Arabidopsis thaliana: one gene and its partners. The protein of the gene in region 3 interacts with the protein of the main gene of each other region in a pairwise test. Each region holds a gene or a part of one and is shown on either strand. Other genes may lie near its edges.

The links. The genes of interacting proteins can lie anywhere in the genome.
Region 1: the proteins of SNL1 (region 3) and TRFL1 interact in a two-hybrid assay, tested with the Arabidopsis thaliana proteins (one study listed by BioGRID).
Region 2: the proteins of SNL1 (region 3) and AT4G32620 interact in a two-hybrid assay, tested with the Arabidopsis thaliana proteins (one study listed by BioGRID).

Annotation. Positions count from the first base shown.
Region 1 is NC_003074.8:17,150,861-17,156,773, forward strand, and holds TRFL1 (TRF-like 1), read left to right. Parts: upstream 1-1,599; 5' UTR 1,600-2,223; intron 2,224-2,714; 5' UTR 2,715-2,781; coding exon 2,782-2,862; intron 2,863-2,886; exon of another isoform or gene 2,887-2,956; coding exon 2,957-3,521; intron 3,522-3,588; coding exon 3,589-3,732; intron 3,733-3,818; coding exon 3,819-3,881; intron 3,882-3,970; coding exon 3,971-4,050; intron 4,051-4,133; coding exon 4,134-4,330; coding exon of another isoform or gene 4,331-4,394; exon of another isoform or gene 4,395-4,417; coding exon 4,418-4,711; intron 4,712-4,778; coding exon 4,779-4,842; intron 4,843-4,912; coding exon 4,913-5,086; 3' UTR 5,087-5,380; downstream 5,381-5,913. UniProt on the Arabidopsis thaliana protein: Binds specifically to the plant telomeric double-stranded DNA sequences. At least 2 repeats of telomeric sequences are required for binding. Induces DNA bending.
Region 2 is NC_003075.7:15,729,755-15,737,480, reverse strand, and holds the start of AT4G32620 (Enhancer of polycomb-like transcription factor protein), read right to left. Parts: upstream 6,034-7,726; 5' UTR 5,803-6,033; intron 5,598-5,802; 5' UTR 5,514-5,597; coding exon 3,243-5,513; intron 3,137-3,242; coding exon 1,568-3,136; intron 1,141-1,567; coding exon 885-1,140; intron 786-884; coding exon 259-785; 3' UTR 1-258. Other genes in the region: AT4G32610 (copper ion binding protein), read left to right, coding at 7,584-7,726.
Region 3 is NC_003074.8:104,495-112,313, forward strand, and holds the start of SNL1 (SIN3-like 1), read left to right. Parts: upstream 1-1,799; 5' UTR 1,800-1,801; coding exon of another isoform or gene 1,802-1,942; 5' UTR 1,943-2,235; coding exon 2,236-2,312; intron 2,313-2,465; coding exon 2,466-2,657; intron 2,658-2,744; coding exon 2,745-2,928; intron 2,929-3,018; coding exon 3,019-3,117; intron 3,118-3,186; coding exon 3,187-3,354; intron 3,355-3,443; coding exon 3,444-3,720; intron 3,721-3,909; coding exon 3,910-4,046; intron 4,047-4,125; coding exon 4,126-4,204; intron 4,205-4,286; coding exon 4,287-4,322; intron 4,323-4,419; coding exon 4,420-4,613; intron 4,614-4,687; coding exon 4,688-4,842; intron 4,843-4,915; coding exon 4,916-5,043; intron 5,044-5,164; coding exon 5,165-5,419; intron 5,420-5,564; coding exon 5,565-6,257; intron 6,258-6,337; coding exon 6,338-6,426; intron 6,427-6,655; coding exon 6,656-7,234; intron 7,235-7,299; coding exon 7,300-7,400; intron 7,401-7,491; coding exon 7,492-7,630; intron 7,631-7,723; and 1 more. Other genes in the region: AT3G01319 (uncharacterized protein), read right to left, coding at 1,802-1,942. UniProt on the Arabidopsis thaliana protein: Acts as a transcriptional repressor. A histone deacetylase (HDAC) activity is required for transcription repression. May play a role in telomere stability.

The sequences.
Region 1 (5,913 bases), about 17 Mb from region 3:
ATTTTAGCTTTTTAAATATAATAAAGCTCGTATTGACAAAGCTAACGGATAAACCCTTATTATTTTGACTGGTTAATTGTTATCTCAAAGAAAAAGTATTTAACATCCTGACTTTAAATTTAGAAAAGTTCATCGACTATTTGTGATGTCCCTTCAAAAAGATTAAAAAACCATAACAAAAGTTAAATGTTTCTCTGGGTTGTACAAATGTTAGATGTTAACTGGACCAGATCACATATAATATAAGAAAATGAACCTGATTAATTCTCTTTACTGAGCTAAATTTTTTACTGACAAGTCTATCAAATTTTACCATCATACTTAAATCCTCAAAAACACATAAACTATACAGTACTTTTTTCTTATTACGTATTTACTATTCTATGCATGAAATTGCGTAAATGTTTGGTTGTATGCATATTAGAATATTCTTTTTATTTTTCTCTCCAACAGATTTAATATTGAACGGTGGTGTTCGTATGATATAAATTCAAAACCACCCACCTTTTATCCTTTCGAACTTTTTCGAGATAGGATAAGATGACATAATTATTTTATTTGTAATTTAGGAAAAGGGGTAGGCCTTTTTTTTTTTCTTTCAAATTAATGATTGTGGGGCTAAAAAAAATAATTTGTGTCCAACACAGGATATAATATTTTGAAACTTGAACGTAAATGTTGACTTTTGATTTTTTTTTCTTCTCAGCTTTTGTTAAATTTAAACTCGTTCCCTTATCAGATTTATTAAAATGGTGAGTGACGAAAAAAAAAAAAATGGTGAGTGAAACGTTAGAGAAATCGACGTATGAAATGAAATTATGAGAGTGTACAGAGAAATATTTGAACAATACTTAGAGCTGACAACAAATTCAAACACTGAATTAGTTCTTGAAGACAAACTCGCTCTTTGCTATAGTTGAGGAGAAGAATCCCACATACTCAATTATAGATCGAGAACGAATCTTTACGTTTTAGTTTTCTTGTCACATTTACTATGTAAAATGGTTCATATTATTATTAAATTTTCATTTATTTTCAAAATAAATTTTTTACAAATATATATATATTTTAATATGATGTTAAAGGTTTTTGTACATAAATTACCTTTTAATTTTGTTTGGTTTATTTAGAAATCAAAATGTAATTTATTATCTACCTAAAAACACGGTTCTTTCAGTATAAAAATTTACAGAATATAAATCATTAAAAGCAAATAACTAATTAGTATTGTATTAAAAATTAAACACTTATCTAATAATACAAAACTTTTGTTCTAAAACATGAAAACGGAAGAAGTATGTTTCTTTTAAAACTATGAAATTCATATACCATATTCAGTTTTATTTAATATCATTTAATATGAATCGACTACCTCATAATTATACAATATAGCAAACTAGGGACCATCTTATCTTTTACGTGATTCCTAAAACATAAATATTTATGGGAATGTTGCCCAAAAAAAAAAATATATATATATATATATTTATGGGAATTTTATCATTTTCTTCCTATTAAGAAAAACCTCAAAAATAAAAATATTAAAATACAAAAGGAAAACATAAAAGCACAAACGAATATTCCAAATATAAACTAAAAATAATACTCATAAACCCAAAAATACATTTTTCCTTTCCCGAAATTCTTTTTTTTGTTAATATTATTATCATGACAAGACGAAATTTACTCAAAAGGCTACGAACCAAAGCCATGTGATGACTACATCAGTACCACGTGTCAAGATCTAAGGACTTAACGAGTTACGAGTGTGTCGTGGGCCATCGACCATGGAAAAGCAACGAGTCTTTAGGTGAATGTTTTACTTGCTATAACCGGTAACAACGGGTCTGGTAATACCGGTAGCTCCGGTGGTTGGTTGAGTTATATGGCTATGGGGGTTTAAGCAAGAAAGACGTGGTCGTGTTCTTCTTATAAGGGTTTTTGTTTATAATTTGGTAATCGAAAAAGAGAGATTTGATAAAATCCTTTGTGTTGAAGGAAAAAAAAATCATATAGGTAACGTTTGATACAAGTAAAAAAAAAAAATTTCCATCACTTTCTTGGGTAAAAAAAACATGGGTTAGAGGAAAAACTGGGGAAAAGATTTTAGATTAAGTGCGTAAAGAATTCTGATTCCTTCGTCTCCGATCTCTCATTTTTCTGGAGAAATTGTCAAAAATTTCAGATATCTATATTGTCTTGGAACTGAAGATTCATCGAAAGGTGAGAAAGATTTAAACTTTTTTTGATGGTTTTTGTGTTCTCGATTTTGTCAAAAGTTTTTGTGTTTGTTTGATCATCGAGAAACTTAGTAAAAATTCATTTTTTATGTGAATTTAGATTTGGAATTTTCAAATTCAAGTTCTTTTGGTTTGGATCTTAAAAGGGTTTTTGTTATCTTTTTGAACTTATCATCATCTTCGATTGAAATTTTTCGTTTTCTTATATGATCAGAATCATCTCATTCATCGATCTGTGAACTCCGATCTGAGAATTTGAAAGTGTCTCTCTTTTTGTTCTAAGTTGATCTGTTTATCCTTTAATTCAAAGATCGAAGCTTTTTTATAATTGAATTACGTTTTGTGTTCTTCAATTCGGATCTTGTGTTTATTAGGGTTTTAGAATGGTTTATCAGATTTGATTTGATATTACCGATCTGTGATTCTTGAATTGAATTGAGTCTTCTTATGGTTCTTGTTTCTTATATACTACAGATTGGTGAGTTTTATTCGCTGCTTATCGCTTGTGGCAATCACATCATCTGTGTTATGCATCCAAGTAATGGTGTCACATAAAGTCTTAGAATTTGGAGATGATGGTTACAAATTACCTGCTCAAGCTCGAGCTCCGAGATCACTCCGGGTAAATGACCCTTTGCTATATTCTCTGTTTAGCTGTTAAAGAATTTATCAGTTACATGAATGATCACTCGCATGTTTGTTCACATTTTTGCTAGAAGAAGCGCATTTACGAAAAGAAGATACCAGGAGATGATAAGATGTGCGCGATTGACTTATTGGCCACCGTAGCTGGAAGCTTGCTTCTCGAGAGCAAAAGTCCGGTAAACGCGTGTCTAGTTGTACAAAATACTGTAAAGAATGAATACCCGGCTGATGAAAACCCCGTAAAGGCGGTTCCTTATTCGGAATCCCCGAGCCTATTTGACAATGGCAAGTGTGGATTTAGCTCTGTGATAACAAATCCTAATCACTTGTTGGTAGGTGACAAAGTAGGAAAGGAGGTGGAGGGTTTTAGTAGTTTGGGTGTGAGTGGTGATGTAAAGCCTGATGTTGTAGCTAGTATAGGTAGTAACAGTAGTACCGAGGTGGGAGCATGTGGGAACGGTAGTCCCAACGAGTCTCGGGATGATGTAAATTTGTTTAGTAGAAATGATGATGATGAAAACTTTTCGGGTTACATTCGAACTCGTATGACTAGGCCTGTGCCTCGTATTGGAGACAGAAGAATTAGGAAGATATTGGCATCTAGACATTGGAAAGGAGGTTCGAAGAACAACACAGGTAAAATCGCCTTTTGTTTTAGTTTTGACTATCTTTATTATTGTGATTTGATGTTTGGTATTTGCAGATGCAAAGCCATGGTATTGCTCAAAGAGGAGTTATTACTTGCACCATCATCAGAGGAGTTATCCCATCAAGAAAAGGAAATACTTTGACAGTGTTTACGACTCGAACTCTGATGATTACCGTTTGCAAGGAAAGACTCATAAAGGTCCAAAACTTGTAATCTTCTCATTCTCTTGTTAGTATGTTGTAAGTCTTTGCTGTTGTAACACGGTTTTGCAAATTCATCCGCAGGAAGCAGAACAATATCTTCCATGAAAAGTCGAAATGCGTCCTTTGTGTCAAGGGATCATCATGGTAATTTAATGGAGTCTCAAGTCTCAATCTATCCTTTGTTCGCTTATTGTTTCGTTGAAATATTTTTGTTTTGTTTTGTTACTCTTTAGTGAAGCTGCGGATCAAGTCTTTTAGGGTGCCTGAGCTTTTCGTAGAGATTCCAGAAACTGCTACTGTTGGCTCCTTGAAGGTGTAATAACAAAACCTAGTTGTGCTGAAAATCCTGATCAAGAAGAACTTATATTTGTATTTTTGTAATGTCGGGGTTGTCAGCGGATGGTGATGGAAGCAGTGACCACCATACTGGGTGATGGACTTCGAGTCGGGCTGATGGTTCAAGGAAAGAAAGTCCGAGATGATGGCAAAACTCTTCTTCAGACTGGGATCTCTGAGGAGAACAACCACTTGGATTCTCTTGGTTTCAGCCTTGAACCTAGCTTAGAGACCACCCCTCAACCACTGTTATCCAGGTTCACTCTTCTCTTCACTCTCAGAGATGCCACATCGATAAAAAATCAATCTTTTGCGGCTTAAGGGCCTTGTTTTCTCTCTGCCAGTTATCTGTCAGATCATGCCTGTGATGATGTGACGTTATGCCACGACAATGCGTTGGATTCTAGTCATGAGCCAGAACCATCCCCAGCTGACTCATTTGGGAAACTAGGCACAAGTGATCATTCTAGAGCTTTGATTCCTGTTGCCTCAGCAGCAATGCTGGCTCCTCGGCCTCCTAACCGTAAGTTTAAAAGGACTGAGCAGCAGCTAGCTGCACAACGCAGAATTCGTCGACCTTTCTCAGTTACTGAAGTAGAAGCACTGGTCCAAGCCGTTGAGAAACTCGGAACCGGAAGGTACAAAACAAAGAAATAGCACTTTCTCTTCTTCATGTTGCTGACAAAATGTGTTTGAAAACTACAGGTGGAGAGATGTGAAGGTTCGTGCTTTCGAGGACGCAGACCATCGTACCTATGTTGATCTCAAGGTTAGTTAGTTTTTTAACTAACTCTTAACCTTAATATATACAGTTTGGTATTGAGTCTTTGCCTTTGTAGGATAAGTGGAAGACGCTGGTCCACACGGCAAGGATATCTCCACAACAGCGGAGAGGAGAGCCGGTGCCACAGGAACTTCTGGACCGTGTTTTGAAGGCACACGCTTACTGGTCACAACACCTAATGCATCAACTGCAGACTGAGCCACCATCCACTCAGGTAGAGGCTCTCTAATCTGAACAGGTTCTTGGTCTAAAGAACCTTTGTGTATTATTATGATGATCCATATTGTAAGATTCTGACATAGTTGAAGATCTGGTCTCAGTTCTTCTTTGTTTTTTTTTTTCTTTCTTTCAAATGTAAAGTTTTATAATTGGAAATAAGGTTGGGTTTTTTCTAACAATGTAAAGGATTTGTTGTAAATCTTTGGTGACATTTTTATTCTGTCTATATGATTTATGGCTCGGCCTATCATATCACAACGACAACGAACTGATATATATATACCTCATCCAAACTCTAGGAGTGCTGGAGAATTCAATTGTTGGATAAATTGTTACTCAAGCTGGTCTATGTTTGGTCAGTTTATGGTTCACATGTGTCCTATATTAGGAAAGAATACACAGAAGCTTGTGCTTGTGAGTGGTATGTGTGCTATGGTATTTACCTTAAATACGGGTCGTTCAGAGTAATAAGCTGGTCTCAAAGCCTCTTTTAAAGGCTATAGCCACAAACAAAGGCACAAAATCCTGGATCTCTAACCAGTAAAGAAGTCGATGTTGAACTAAAGTTCGCAAATATTTGCAGATAGCATTGAGTAGGCAAGCTCTTCCCACTTTTTTTTTTTTTTTTTTCACTGAACTGTTGCCTTTCATTGAATATTGGAGTTTGTGAAAAAATTTAAAGCAATTAGCAATAAAATCAAAAGGATATTGAAGTTTACATTTGGACCTGGACGAGATAATAGAGGATAACGTTCAATTTATTAGAAGTTATGATGACTGATATATTTACCGATTTAAAACTAATATATTTAGCAACTTGACGCAGCAAGAAAATTA
Region 2 (7,726 bases), on a different chromosome or scaffold from region 3:
AACCTACTAAGAACATTCCCAGCCGATGGGTACATGAGATCAAGTTTCAGAGTCCCAGTTCGGTGTTATTGCTGCATCAAAATATAGCTTACTTAAAGCAGAGGGAGGCAAATTTCTGTACAGTGGAGCTCATCTGGGTCGTTTTTTAATTCGTGTCAAGACCAGCTCGTGTGTTGAACAGGACATGTCGAATCACTATCTCTTCTTTTGCTCAAGAGGTGACAATACCCAGACTTAACAAGAGTGGTATCTATTGACTCATCCTTCGCTTGAGCTTTCTACCCCATTGTTGTTGCCTAGGTCCTCGGAAGAAGCTTTAACTGCCTCTGCACACATGAGAGCAGCTGCAGCTTTCTGGATCGCTAGATCTGCTTTGTACCTCAAACTCTCTGCTCTTTCCCGCTTGAGCTTCGCCAAAGCGCATGCTCGCCTTGCAGCACCAGCTGCATCTCGCAATTTGTACTCATCAATGTCTGTACTATTCCGTATTCCTTCCACATCAGGACGCTGAGATCCGTTGGAGTAACAGACAAGATTGGAACTGGGGCATTCAGAATAGCCTGCATCCCATCGTTCACTCGTATTCCTCTTCCCATTGATTCTTTGCGACTTGTTTTGGTGATTCCTATGATATCCATTTCCACCGCTCGAGAAATATCCCATGCCTAGGTCACGAGGGGAATATGTTCCTGGATGTACAGAAAATTCATTCGAGTGCTCATAGCTTTGATTTGAATATAAAAACCTCTCGTCGCCAGAGACAAAACCAACAGGTCTTCTTCCTGCTAGAGAAATGGAAAAGTTGGATTAAACACAGACTTCATTTTGAAAAATCAGAGTCAATAGAGGATTTATAGAATATCAAGCAGGTAAAAACGAGTTACCTGATGAATTACAGCCATCATAATCTCCCAAAGCAGAACTATGTTGAGCATAAACTGAGAGTTTCTTCTGTGACCTGTGTTTTGTTCCCCTGTGTTTGACTTCCAAACCTCGAGGCTTAAAACAGAAAGCAAACATCGCTGGCTTCTCAGTAGGTGACTGTTTCTTCTGCGACCCACAGGAATTTGGAGTGTTTGCTTTGCTCATAACCAACTCCCAGTCTTTGAGCTCCCTTTGATATTTTTCCCATAGAGGTGGCTGAATTGCAAGGGTAGAAAACAAGTGTTTACGTTAGGCAAAATTAAAAATATTGCAGCAGAGTAACTACATTATTGTTGAGCTAGCAAGTAAGACTAATCAACAAGGAGTAAAATCAACAGACTATAGAAGATGCTACAGTTATGGACTTCCAGACATCTTCGTGCACAACAAACTGGAATGCAAAAAGATGCAATTTTCCCCCTAATAGACGTTCCATTTGCATAAAACACCCACATCATTCAATATCCTGAAAAGAACACTAAGTAATACCTACTACTAGACATAGCCTTATTGTCCACAATTCTGCATTTCCCCCGATTCCAAAAAGATCTATGTTGAGCCTAGTCATGCAGATTTTTAAATCTCAAGAAAAACATGAAAACCAAATAAATAATAAAAGATGAAAAGGCATCAGAGATTGTACCTGAAGATGCCTGATCAATGGCATTCCCTTCCTCTGCCTCTTTGTTCTCCAAAGCTCATATATTGTTTCCATTGCTTCCAAGGATCCAACTCCAGCCGTCAATTCTTGAATTTCGATTAAGGTAAAGTTATCACGCTGCTTTACAAATGAAGCCTTCTCAAACATGTCCATTGCCTTCTCAAACATGTCCTCAGTGATCTCACAAGAGCCACTATTCTCAGCACTCGAACACTCACGAATTCTCAAAAGGCACTGCTCATCATCGCTGTCCATGTCATACATAACACGTGAAGGATCTAATGCCATCTCAACATCAGTTTCAGTCTGCCGAAAATATTTAGAAGAACTGCGAATAAATTCAGTTTCTGTTCCATCAAAATTATCCCTTTCTATCATGCGGATGCCAGGAATAGGAATATTTCTAACTAAAGCAGCCCGAGTATTTCTATTGTAGCACTCTTCATGCATCTCTTTAAAAAGGAACCACTGGCCCCTATCAGGGAACTCCAAGGTCCAATCTTTTCCACCTTTCCACATCATAGCATGTGTAAACCTATTCACTGACCCAGGTTGCAGAAATTGATGTGCCCTGTGTGAGTATTTTGTTGTCCCTGAGATTTTTACCGCAAGTCTCCATTCATTATTATCAAAAGGTTCCAGGAAAATCTGAGCTCCATATTCTCGCCAGCCTCTATCACCAAGAGTGACTAATACATTGGCATCACATAAACTAGACTCGAGATCTTTCTGAATACCTTTGGTAACATCAGCGGTAGACCTTCTAATTCTTTTGTTCGGCATCCCCTTGAGCAGGGAACCTTTGTTTCTAGAATCAGAACCCCCAGAAGGCAATGAATAAGACACTTGGGTACGTCGCTTCTTAGGTCCATTTGCCAAATTAGTGTTCAAAAAGTCTCCCTTTGAATCCGACCAACCATGCGAGAGATGGCCATTTAAAGAACTTTTACTTCGGTTCCACATACTTCTTGGGGCAGTGGCCTTTGGACTTGAGTTGCTACTACCTTGAATATTCAAGGCCAGATTACTTGACTGCGGAGTACCATCCTCACAATCATCAGATATTGGAACTTGAATACTAATCCCATTCACCGAAACATTAGACCTGGTTTCATGCTTATGTCTGACAACAGAAGAACTGTATGACATCCAGTTTTCAGAATCAGACCCCAGCTGCTGACTTTGAGACGGAGTATGAAGGTCTTTTGACTCTTGCGCTCTGGAAGAAGTGATAATTGGTTCATCAGTTTGGCTCTTACTCTTGAGAGACAGTTCAGAATGCTCATTTGTAAAATCTGCCATATCACAACCTCTATGTGTTACCAAATCGCGTTCTATTCCTAGGAAGTCTGCTGAATCATGACCCAGCTCCCTTATCATGTTCAAGTGTAAACTGAGTAACAGTGTAGGTGGCCGAGCAGTAAAAAGAAGTGCAAATGGAGACGTATTTTGCTTCTTGTAGCAAACAGATGTGGGCCACGCTTCAGCAGATGATGATCCTCTAGAAACAAGGCCTGAGCTGATTCCATGCCTAGATCTCTTCTGCATAACCTGATGTGCAAGATTAAAAAAAAAAACGAATTGGTATGAGATAATAGAAATAAAAGTATAACCAACGAAGCAATGTACCAGAACATTCATTAAAGAATCACTGTACCTTCTGCAGGACCTTCATGTTATTGTGAGTACACTCTGCAATTGATACTTGCTTAACCAGCAAAGAATGTCTCCTGACATTCTGTTCCAAGTATGACCACTTTGAATGTTTCACCTCATGGAAACTGTAGATTTGAAATCCAAGCTGCCTTTGGAAACCTGGGATGCAAGAAACTTGGAGACCAATTGAGAAAACTGGCAACTGCAAGTCAGCATCCGCTCCTTGTGCTCCTTGCTTATTAGAATGATCTACTACCATCAAGATACGGAAAATCAATTGAACAACTTCCATTAAGCAGCCTTCAAAAATTAGATACCTTAACCCATCTTGGTTATTCAGGAAAATCATTTCCAAACGAACTCTTGGCCACAAAGTCACAAGTGTACCATGACGAAGCAAAAGAGCAGCACGTGAAAGCCAGTCAACATCGGCCATAAGAAAGTAGCTCATCAAGGAAACACCCTGTAGGCTGAGGGACAACTCAAATTGCTCTGATTCATTCCACGGGCAACAAAGCTCCAGATCCCCAGAATCTTCAATAGGCAAAAACTCTACACCAGGATCCGGACTTTTTGATACAAGAAACTGCTTCAAAAACTCAACACTATTGTAACCTGACTCTTTGTAGATATCCTTCTTTGCTGTATGAAGTCTTCTCCTACAATAGACAATAGGAAATATGCTACCATTCCGAAAACCAGAGCTTTCCAACTCGTTTTTACTTGGTCCAGGTAATCCACATGATGCAAGAGAACTAGCCGATCTATCTGTGACATCCCCATTCATTTTAACAGATTCATTAGATGTCATTACGTCAGTTTTTTTCCGCTTTTGTACAGCCTTAAGAGTGGAGGATTTGTCCCGATGTCTAGACCGAGCCAACCATGTGATGATTGGCTCTGATTCCATGCAGCTATCATCTTCTAGCTTTTCCTTCTGCTTCTCCTCGTCTTTGCTGGAAGTATCATTCCCTTTTACTTTCTGAGTAGACTTTGACTCTGAACAACGCCTTTTCCGCTGATTTTTTCCAGGAACTTCAGAAGGAAACAACAGAATTTTGAATCTTTCACCCTGTAAGTTGATCCACTCCTCATCACGATCATCATATTTTACATGATGCAGGTTCTTGTCTCCATCGAAACCATCCACAAACCCATGATACCATCTCTCATCCAATGGCCAGAAAACTTTAATCTTTTTGTTTAACAACCAGTGTGAATCCACATCTGAAAACAAAATTTCATAAAAGTGGCGTCTTTTCCGAACTTTACCCTTCCCATCATCATTATGTCTCCTTGGTCGCAACATTCTATCATCAGTGTCATCTGAGACACATTTAGAACTAAGCAACTCGGACCGAGGATCAACTGAATTCTTACCAGAAGGCAATGGATGCAATCTACTCGCAGATGGTGAACCAGGAGTAACAGAATTTGAAGGAAACTGGGTACAGTTTGGATCAAACCGTGAAGACAGCATTATTGCAGCATTAGCTTCAAGATTCTCCTCATCATCTTCCCGTGATACCTTGGATATTCTACCAGAAGCATCACCTGAAGACTTGGCCTCTTTTCCCACGCGTCTGTTTGATGCTGAGGACTTCCTTTTTCTGCTGTTACTATTTCTTTGTTTAACAACAACCAGCTGATCATCTTTCACTGGAGACTGATTAGAATGCCCATTTTCCAACTGCAACGGAGCTGCGGAATTAGATTCTTTGATATCTTTGTCAGAGTCCTTCTCTTCAACTTTAGAGGGTTGATCCTGAACACTAGATTCTTCAGCAGTAACCTTAGGGATATTAACAACCAGCTCCTCCTGACTATCAGACTCCCCTGCAGACTTCTGTGCTAGGCCATTCTCAAACCTACTCCTCCCAACAAAATCTCTCCTGCGTCTAGGAACATAAATCGTACTACTTGCCAAACCAACAGAAATCACTTGAAGCCCATTACTGTCACACAATTTCTCATCCAAACCCACCTCCTTGGAGTCCTCCAAATTGTGCAATATAGTGGTGCCATTGCATGCCTTATCCAGAATACTCTCGTTCTGGCTACCTACTTTCTTAAAACTACTTAGAGAAACAACTTTCCTGCTCTTCTTGTCCTGCTTCAACTGATCACCATCAATCCCAGACCTATGTTTTCTTTTAAAGCTCTTATTCACTGAATCCTTGGAAATGCTAGACTTATAGAGCGTCTTAAGATCTAAAGACCTGGATTTCTTCGAAATTCCCACTCCATTAGAGTTACCTAGTCTATTTTCCATGAAAGCCACCTCGAACCAATACCCAGAATCAAAAGCCAGCAGGTCTCAAATTCCATCATATACGCAAGCAAACATTTTTCAGATCTGTGACACCAAAACCAAACCCAGAATCACAAAAAGTACCCAAAGTATGATAAAAGAAGAACACACAAGTCACCCAAAGAAACAGATCAAATCCCACTTCAGGAAAAAACTTTGCATTGAAATCCAAGCAATTGTTTTTTCAACAATCAAGCAAAATTTAACTGCAAAAAATTAAAAAAAAAAAGAGAGAAATTTGCATGCCTACCTGCATCACTTTATCAGACGAAATCGAGTCTCTTAAGGACCTTTATAGTCGCCACAATCCCAAAATCAAAATTAGGGTTTCGGTAAATCGGACTGCGAATCGGATCCCTAAATCAAACAATCGAAAATTTCCCAAAAGTATTCGTTCAATTTAGCCGAAAATAAAAAAAGCAAAATTTGCTTCTTTTTTTTTTCTTTTTTAACCGGGAGAAACGGGAGAGCTAGGGTTTCGTCTGGTTCCGCGAGAGTAAGGTTTTTTCAGTTATAAAGAAAACATATTCCAAATAAACATCGTATCACGGGTACCGTCCGATGGAGACGCGTTACTATATCTACGGTCCATATTTAGTTTCGAAATAAGCACTAAATTTTTAACTCTGCAACAGAAAAGATATAATGGACGTTCGAGATTCTCAGCTGCGAAATATTTGTTTGGACGGTCAGGATTTAAAGATTTCTTCAGAGAGAATAATTTATTGTTGTCACGTGTGTTGCTAACCTACCGCAATCTTGTGTTTGTCCACCTAGCCAACAATTGTTAGAGACATCATTCAACTTAACAACTATTATTACTAGAATACTAGGGGATAATTTAAGTATAAAATCATCACATTACAGTATTATCTTTTTAATAATTTATATATATATATATATATTATTGTTATTTTCTTTTAATATATAAACTTCATTCATCCATTAGCTTAACAATTTTCCAATATTTTGTAAAAATATATATATACATATTATTAGGAGTTTTCGGACCATATTTAAGTATTAGTGTATTACTACCTTATTATGTGTTTAAATATATATTTTTATTAAATATAGACATATAGCAAAAAGAATTAGTAGTAGAGAGATTGATTGGAATCAATTTTTGATTAATTATATAGTGTAAACTAAGCTTTAAGAATATTTAAAAAATAGATTTGGTTTCCTTATAAATATGAATTAAGGTCATTATTAACGTATCATAAGATTTAGAGCAATGTATAAACACAAGAAGAAAAACAATAAAAGTTCAGAAATTCCTTTTTCGATTCAAAAATACGTTAAAAATTGACAAAATATTTTGGCGGGTGGATTGTATATTGGAACCCAAAATTTGCTTTTTTAATACAGAAAAATAAAATAAAATTGGCTTAATTGGAAAAACTAATATTGAGTTCATAAACCAAATTAAGGTTTAATTAGACAGTCTAATCCAATGTTCGGTTCAATTTTGTAATCAAATGTTCGGTTCAATTTTGTAATCAAATGTTCGGTTTGATGATCCATAAGAGAGGAGATAACATCCCAAATAGAGACAGATCCCCTTCCCTTGTCGTGTAGCCCAGTAGCTCTAATCGCTACGATTGCTACACACCACATCCCTTAAGAAAACCCTAATCATCTCTCTCTCGCATTCTATAGGAATCGCTTCCCGAAGCTTCCAACATTCTCTTGTTTCTCCTTTGTCTCTCAATTTCAGTTTCCTATATTATACGCTTGTATTAATCACCAGTATACATTTTGTCGTTTCTGGGTCTGGAACCCTAGTAGTTATTATAGCATCCATCGCTTTCTTCAATCGCCGTCCATCAGAGTTTCAAGGGATTTGCTTTAAAGATCAATCCTTTCCTAAGAAAATAGCGACAATTCATCAGCTTTTCCTTTCCCATCCTTCATTACCTTAACTTACTCGAGATTCATCTTCCAGCTGAAATTGTGAAACTTCGTTTCTGGGTTTTTATCAGAAAACACTCTGTGACTTATTGTGTGGTGATCGAGGAAAGAAAAAAGATGGTTGGTGGTGGAAACAGGAGAGATGAGGGATCGATGCCGATTCAGAACACCAACTTGTTTGCTGCTTTGGATACTTCGAGGAAGAAGAAGAAGTCTGATAAGGCTGGTAAGAGCAAAGCTTCCTCTAAGAGAGAAGATTC
Region 3 (7,819 bases):
TGGGATTAGGATTGTTCAGATTATAAGACCAGATTTCTAAATAGTATGACAACTCCGAAGACCAGATTCTGAACCTCTTCCATTAATTGAACTATTTGGTTAAATAAATCAAACTGTTCTATTTGTTTCTATGATTCCATCTCTGTAAACGGTCAATGTATATGTGTGAGTCTTTTATAATTCGAATCTTCTGCTCAGATATATGAATTTATTCTCATAGATTACAAGAATCTCTGAAGTCTGACATGTGAATTTCTCATAAAATCATCACCGCAGAAGAAGAAATTATCCAAAACGAAATTTGAAGGAAAATACTAAAAAATCGAAAGAAAAGAAGAGAGATCAGAGTTTGGTTAAGAATTTTTTCGGTCACGGTTAATCTGAAACACGGACCAATTTGTTGATCATCATATCTCTCGTTTCAAACAAAACAATCAAAACAGAAGAAAATCAAATCGAAAAAGATCTAGTTGAAAACGATTAAGATCATCAGAGACTTAAATACTAATAATCACAAAGATTACTCCATCATATTGTTGCAGTATTACCTCATCACCTGATCTCAATTTTGCATTATCTATACGGACCAATACATCATAACTCGAAAACCAAAGATCTAAAGAAAACTAAACTGAAGATAAAATACGAACTTGAACAGAGAACCCTAAACTGACTTGATAAGAGCTTGATGTCTGTCAAAGTCATGTGTGGTTTGTATATAAAGGTCCCCAATGGCGGCGATTCTTAGGTTTCTCGAGGAAAACCCTAACGCTTATGGGTCGTATATGAGCTTCATAAGGCCCATTATAATAAACCTCTTTTGACCCATAAAAACCCCAAACCAATACTCAATTAGCTTATATGGATGGGCTTGACTGAAAATTTACAACTTCTCATTTTTGGTTTGATTCAAGAAAAAACAAAATATTAATTTTAAAAAAAAATATGTACTTGGAACAAAATAATTTGTAAGAAAATCTACATCTATTTAAGGCTTGAAGTCATTGGATCCTATTTTAATGGAAGACAAGATCAAAATTTATATCCTTTTTTTGGGGAGTAGATATAAACTTTTAAGCTTAATTTAGCATGTTTTGTAGTAAATCCAAAACTGGATAAAATCTAATTTCAAACTCAACTAATTCTGTTCATTTTATCTTTAAACAAGTTCAAACACTTGAAACAATAGCTTCATACATACGCAAAAGAAACAAACACACAACAAAATTGATAGAATAAAATAAGTTTGGTATTAAAGAAGATATAATCGTAACAAGATTCAAAACTTAAGTAATGACATCGCTACAAAGATCAGCTGTTTCGTTCCGACGTCAAGGTTCTTCGGGTCGTATTTGGAGTGATCAATTCATCTTAGATCAAAAAAATGGAGCAATTCTTCAAAATCATCTAGAACAAACCGGAAGAAATAGTAATGATCTTGAAGATAAAAATCCATCACAGAAATCAAGTTCTTCGTCATCTTCTTCATCACCACCTCCATACTTTTCTGAAATACGTAGAGGACCAGACATCTCATCTTCTACACGAAACAAACTCGCTTGTGGTTTATCATCACTTTTCCGACAATGTATCGGTTCTTCGGCTCGTGCTTAATTTTGTTCAATGCTTGACGCAAATCTGTACATATATTTTCTTGTTATATGAAAAATTCATCACAATTTTTTCCGACCAAACAGAGTTCTTGATAAATGGGCCTATTATTTTAAAAAGCCCAATAGATATTTGAGTGTCCGGCCCAAATTGAAGTAGAATAAAAGATAAGTTACCAATTTACCAGTAGTTAGCAGCAAACACACAGAGAAAGTGAAACATCGAAGAGACCCCAGAATGCAAAATCTCTCTCCGCCTTTTTCTCCTTCCTTATTCGAAAATTCTCAGCGTCTTTGTTGCAAACTCCTCTGAAATTCTCCGTCTTCTTCATTCGTTTTCGACTCTGCGTTCTACTACTTCTCGTCTCCTATCAGTATCATCGCAATTCATATTCAGTCTAGTGTGTTAAACCGGAGAATTTGGAGTCTCGCCGGAATTTTCCTCTGTCTATGTATGATTGCCGGTGATCAAAGCGCTTCTTAACGATTCTGTTCTCCTTTGAGAGATCTGAGTATCTGATTTCATCTACTACATATGTTTTCTCGAGAGTGATAGAAAGTAGGTCTCATACATATTTTTCCTCTGGAGGGAATTTTGATCCTCTGCTTCGTTAATTAACTTGTGATGAAGCGGATAAGAGATGATGTATATGCCTCTGGGTCTCAATTTAGACGTCCTCTTGGTTCTTCTCGAGGCCAATTGTGAGTTTCTCTAAATTCACCCTTCAAATTTCGGTTTTGATCTTGGTTCTGTTTTGTGGCGATTAGGTTTTCTATAATTCTGCATGGAGAGTGACAAATATTTGTTATGAATTGAGTAGTTTTAAGTAATCGATTAGAGATGATTTGGTGCAGATGTGGACAATCTCCGGTCCACGGCAGTGGTGACACCGAAGAAGAAGAAGAAGGAGGGAGCCGGAGAGTCTCTCAGAAATTGACAACCAATGATGCGTTGTCGTACCTGAGGGAAGTAAAAGAGATGTTTCAAGATCAACGCGAGAAATATGACAGGTTCCTCGAGGTTATGAAAGATTTTAAGGCTCAAAGGTTAGCTCTTTCACTCTCTATCGACTTCAAAGTTCAAGTAAGTTTTAGTAGGCGGCATTGTATTAATTCTTCGTCTTGCATTTTCAGAACCGACACAGGCGGTGTGATCGCAAGAGTTAAGGAATTGTTTAAGGGACATAATAATTTGATTTATGGATTCAACACCTTTTTGCCTAAGGGATATGAAATTACGCTTATTGAGGAAGACGACGCTCTGCCAAAGAAGACTGTTGAATTCGAACAAGCCATCAATTTTGTGAATAAAATTAAGGTGCTGTCGAAATCTTGGTCTTATATTTCTCTTTTGAAGTGCGCTTACATCTTGTGTCTCAATGTACAAGTTTCTTTTTTCTCACTGCAGATGCGATTCAAGCACGATGAACATGTCTATAAATCTTTCTTGGAAATCTTGAATATGTACCGAAAGGAGAACAAGGAAATTAAAGAGGTGTACAACGAGGTAATATACTTCATCTCACCTGTAATGCCACTCCAAACTTTTTCTAACCTTCGAATATCTATGCTCCAGGTATCTATTCTTTTTCAAGGCCACTTGGATTTGCTTGAACAGTTTACTAGGTTTTTGCCAGCGTCTTTGCCATCTCATTCAGCAGCGCAGCATAGCCGGAGTCAGGCTCAACAGTACAGCGACCGAGGATCAGACCCTCCTCTACTTCATCAAATGCAAGTGGAAAAGGTTCGTTTGATCTTTGTTTCATATTTTTCCTTGTTCTATTTTTTGCCACGTATCTCAATTTTGTTCCCGCTACAACTTTTTATCACCAGGAACGCCGACGAGAAAGGGCTGTTGCTCTCCGCGGTGATTATAGTGTTGAACGTTATGACCTTAATGATGATAAAACGATGGTGAAGATTCAAAGAGAGCAGCGGAAGCGCCTTGATAAGGAGAACAGGGCAAGGAGAGGCCGTGATTTGGACGATAGAGAAGCAGGTCAAGATAACCTACACCATTTTCCAGAGAAAAGAAAGTCGTCCAGAAGAGCTGAAGCTCTTGAAGCATATTCTGGTTCTGCTTCACATTCTGAGAAAGACAATTTGAAAAGTAAGCTAACTCCTGTGTCAAACATTTTTTTATTTGCTTGGTACCTTTTCTATTTTTTAAGAGTCCCAAACATTGGACACCTTAATTCTTTCTCTTTGAGAGAGAATTTATTTTCCAATTTTGGTTGCATGGTGATCTTTAAGGTGCGAAGATCTGCTTCTGTTTTCTAAGATGTTTACTTTGTGTTAGGTATGTACAAACAAGCATTCGTTTTCTGTGAGAAAGTCAAGGATAGACTATGCAGCCAAGATGATTATCAGACATTCTTGAAGTGCCTCAATATTTTTAGCAATGGAATAATCCAAAGGAAGGATCTGCAAAACTTGGTATTGCAATTTGTGATCAGGGGTTGATCTTGTGGTAACGTTCAGGAAGTTGTATTAAATCCCATTCATTTTCTTTCAGGTTTCTGATCTTCTTGGGAAATTTCCTGATCTGATGGATGAGTTCAACCAGTTCTTCGAGCGGTGTGAGAGTATTACTGGTACTGAAATACGTATTGTTATTTTAATAGTTATTACATATCAGCAATCTTCTTCTTTCTGACGGTCATCCTCTTTTTGTAGATGGATTTCAGCGTCTTGCTGGTGTTATGAGCAAAAGTATGCTGCTATTTTAAACTTCCCAGCTGTGAATAATATTGTCTCTTTCCCTCCTACTTTGTAAAATCTTTACTGACATTGCTGGTACACTTGGCAGAATTATTTAGCAGCGAAGAACAGTTATCCAGGCCAATGAAGGTGGAAGAGAAAGAAAGTGAACACAAGCCTGAACTCGAGGCTGTGAAGGAAACTGAGCAATGCAAGAAGGAGTACATGGGAAAATCTATTCAAGAGCTCGATCTCTCTGATTGCGAGTGTTGCACTCCTAGCTACCGGCTTCTGCCTGCGGATGTAAGCTTCTATTTCCAAGTTGCATTTTGAGCATGTTCATTGGATTTTTACTTACTGTAATATTATATTTGCAGTATCCGATACCAATTGCGAGTCAGAGATCGGAGCTAGGAGCTGAGGTTTTAAATGATCATTGGGTATCTGTCACTTCCGGAAGTGAAGATTATTCTTTTAAGCACATGCGCAGAAACCAATATGAAGAGAGCTTGTTCAGATGCGAAGATGATAGGTATTTATATTGACAACATACATATTATAGTTTGAAGTAATTGGTCATTTATGTTAATTACTGCTTATAACAGATTTGAGTTGGACATGTTGCTGGAATCTGTGAGCTCTGCGGCCAGAAGTGCAGAAAGTTTGTTGAACATCATCACAGAGAAGAAAATAAGTTTTTCTGGCTCCTTCAGGATCGAAGACCATTTTACGGGTCTGTATGCTTTTTTGGGACCATTTTACAGTTCGTAGTTATATCTTCTCTCTTCCCCTATTTAGGTGTCCTCATATGTTTGGTTATTAACTTTACCATTTTCTTATTGACATATTTACAGCCCTAAATTTAAGGTGTATTGAGCGACTTTATGGCGACCATGGTCTTGACGTGATAGACATATTAAATAAGAATCCAGCCACTGCACTTCCTGTAATCCTAACTCGTTTAAAGCAGAAACAAGGTGAATGGAAGAAATGCCGTGACGATTTTGATAAGGTCTGGGCGAACGTATATGCAAAAAACCATTACAAGTCACTTGATCACCGCAGCTTCTACTTCAAGCAACAAGATTCAAAGAACTTGAGTGCAAAATGTAAGTAGACTTATAGAAGTCGTAAGAAGATTTATATTCAAGTAGTTCCTTTATCCTGTTTTATCGCTCACATACATCCGGCAGTGCTATTTTTCCTTTCACTTATTCCTTTCTCATTCTGTTTTTTTATTGCTTCGTGAACCAGCATTGTTGGCTGAAATTAAGGAGCTGAAAGAGAAGTCTCAGAATGATGATGATGTTCTGTTGTCTATTTCTGCTGGTTACAGACAACCTATAAATCCTAATCTTGAATATGAGTATTTGAACAGAGCTATTCATGAAGACATGTTCAAAGTAGTCCAGTTTTCATGTGAGGAGTTATGTTCTACAAAAGAACAGCTCAGTAAAGTTCTGAGGCTTTGGGAAAATTTCCTGGAGGCAGTGCTGGGTGTTCCTCCCAGGGCCAAGGGCACAGATCTTGTTGAAGATGTTGTAATAAACCCCAAGACTCTCGATGTGAATCACAGCACATCTCCTAACGGGGAGGCTGCTGTGAGTTCTGGAGGAGACACAGCAAGGTTGGCTTCTAGGAAACTTAAATCTGCTGCCAATGGAGATGAGAATTCTTCATCTGGGACATTCAAACATGGGATAGGTTTGTTAAATAAAGATTCGACAGGGAAAGAAAATCTTGAAGATGTTGAAATAGCTAACAGAGATGGTGTTGCCTGCTCTGCTGTGAAACCTCAGAAAGAACAAGAAACTGGAAATGAAGCCGAGAAAAGGTTTGGAAAACCTATCCCAATGGATATTAGCGAAAGAGCAGCCATCTCGAGTATATCAATCCCAAGTGGGGCAGAAAACAATCATTGTGTAGTAGGCAAGGAAGTTTTGCCAGGTGCCTTCCAGATTTAAGCTATTTAATTTTATTTGTGCTGCTTGATTATTTGTGTTGATATTTGTTACTTTACAATTAAGGTGCACATGAGATTCAAGCCAAACCAAGCGACACCCTCACTGATATTCATCATGATGTAGATAGCATTGAAACTGTTCATTCGACTCAGGTACTAGTACTACAATCAATTGCTCGTTGTACCATATTTACACCATTCAGTTGCTCGTTGTACCATATTTATATATTCGCCTAAACCCACTATTACCTGGAGGTTTCCATAGCTTAGGGATGTAAAAATTTACAGTACTACCTATGGGACCCAGGGGTGTAAAAATTTAAAATGTGTCTTATATTATAATTATGCTTTCCGGACCCTTCTGACTCTGTCATATTACTAGGGAGGTGATGTTGGCAATTCGATAGTTTTGGCAAATGGATTAAGGTCAGATTCTTCTAAAGGTACTAGGAATTCTGATGATCCCGAAGGTCCCTCCAGAAATGAGAAAGAGGAAGGTGAACTGTCACCTAATGGTGATTTTGAAGACAACTTTGGTGTTTACAAAGATCATGGGGTGAAGTCCACATCCAAACCAGAGAATTCAGCAGAGGCTGAAGTAGAGGCAGATGCTGAAGTAGAGAATGAGGACGATGCTGACGATGTTGATAGTGAAAATGCTTCCGAGGCATCTGGAACTGAATCTGGTGGCGACGTATGTTCTCAGGACGAAGATAGAGAGGAGGAGAATGGTGAGCATGATGAGATCGATGGTAAAGCTGAGAGTGAAGGAGAAGCGGAGGGAATGGATCCACATCTCTTAGAAGGAGAAAGTGAGCTGCTTCCACAGTCAGAACGTGTTCTCTTATCCGTCAGACCCCTTTCAAAGCATGTCGCAGCAGTTTTATGCGATGAGAGAACAAAAGATCTCCAAGTTTTCTATGGGAATGACGACTTTTATGTTCTTTTTAGGCTTCACCAAGTGAGTTACCTAATTATTTATTGAAATTGATTCTCTCTAGCAAAGATAACGTGGTGCATTTTCAGATCCTGTACGAGAGAATTTTGTATGCAAAAAGGAATTGCTCAGGCGGTGAACTGAAATCGAAAAACTTAAAGGATACCAATGCCGGAGATCCTTATGCGAGGTACCTTCCTTTGTACAACTTTTTATACTAGCCTATGTAGATAATCATATACATGTTGTTCCCATCAAAATCTGATCTGTGTGTTGTACAGGTTTATGAGGGTTTTGTATGGTTTGCTAGATGGATCAGCTGAAAATACCAAGTTTGAGGATGAGTGCAGAGCTATAATTGGAAACCAATCATATGTGTTATTCACGTTGGACAAACTGATTTACAGATTGGTTAAGCAGGTGTTACTCACACTAGTGGTTTAGGACAATTTTTTTTATGTTATCGACATTATGTTACCTTCCTTGTGATGTTCTAATATTATCCATCTGCAGCTTCAAGCTATTGTAGCCGATGAAATGGACAACAAGCTGCTTCAGTTGTATGAGTATGAGAAATCCCGGAAACCAGGAAGGGTTATCGACTCAGTG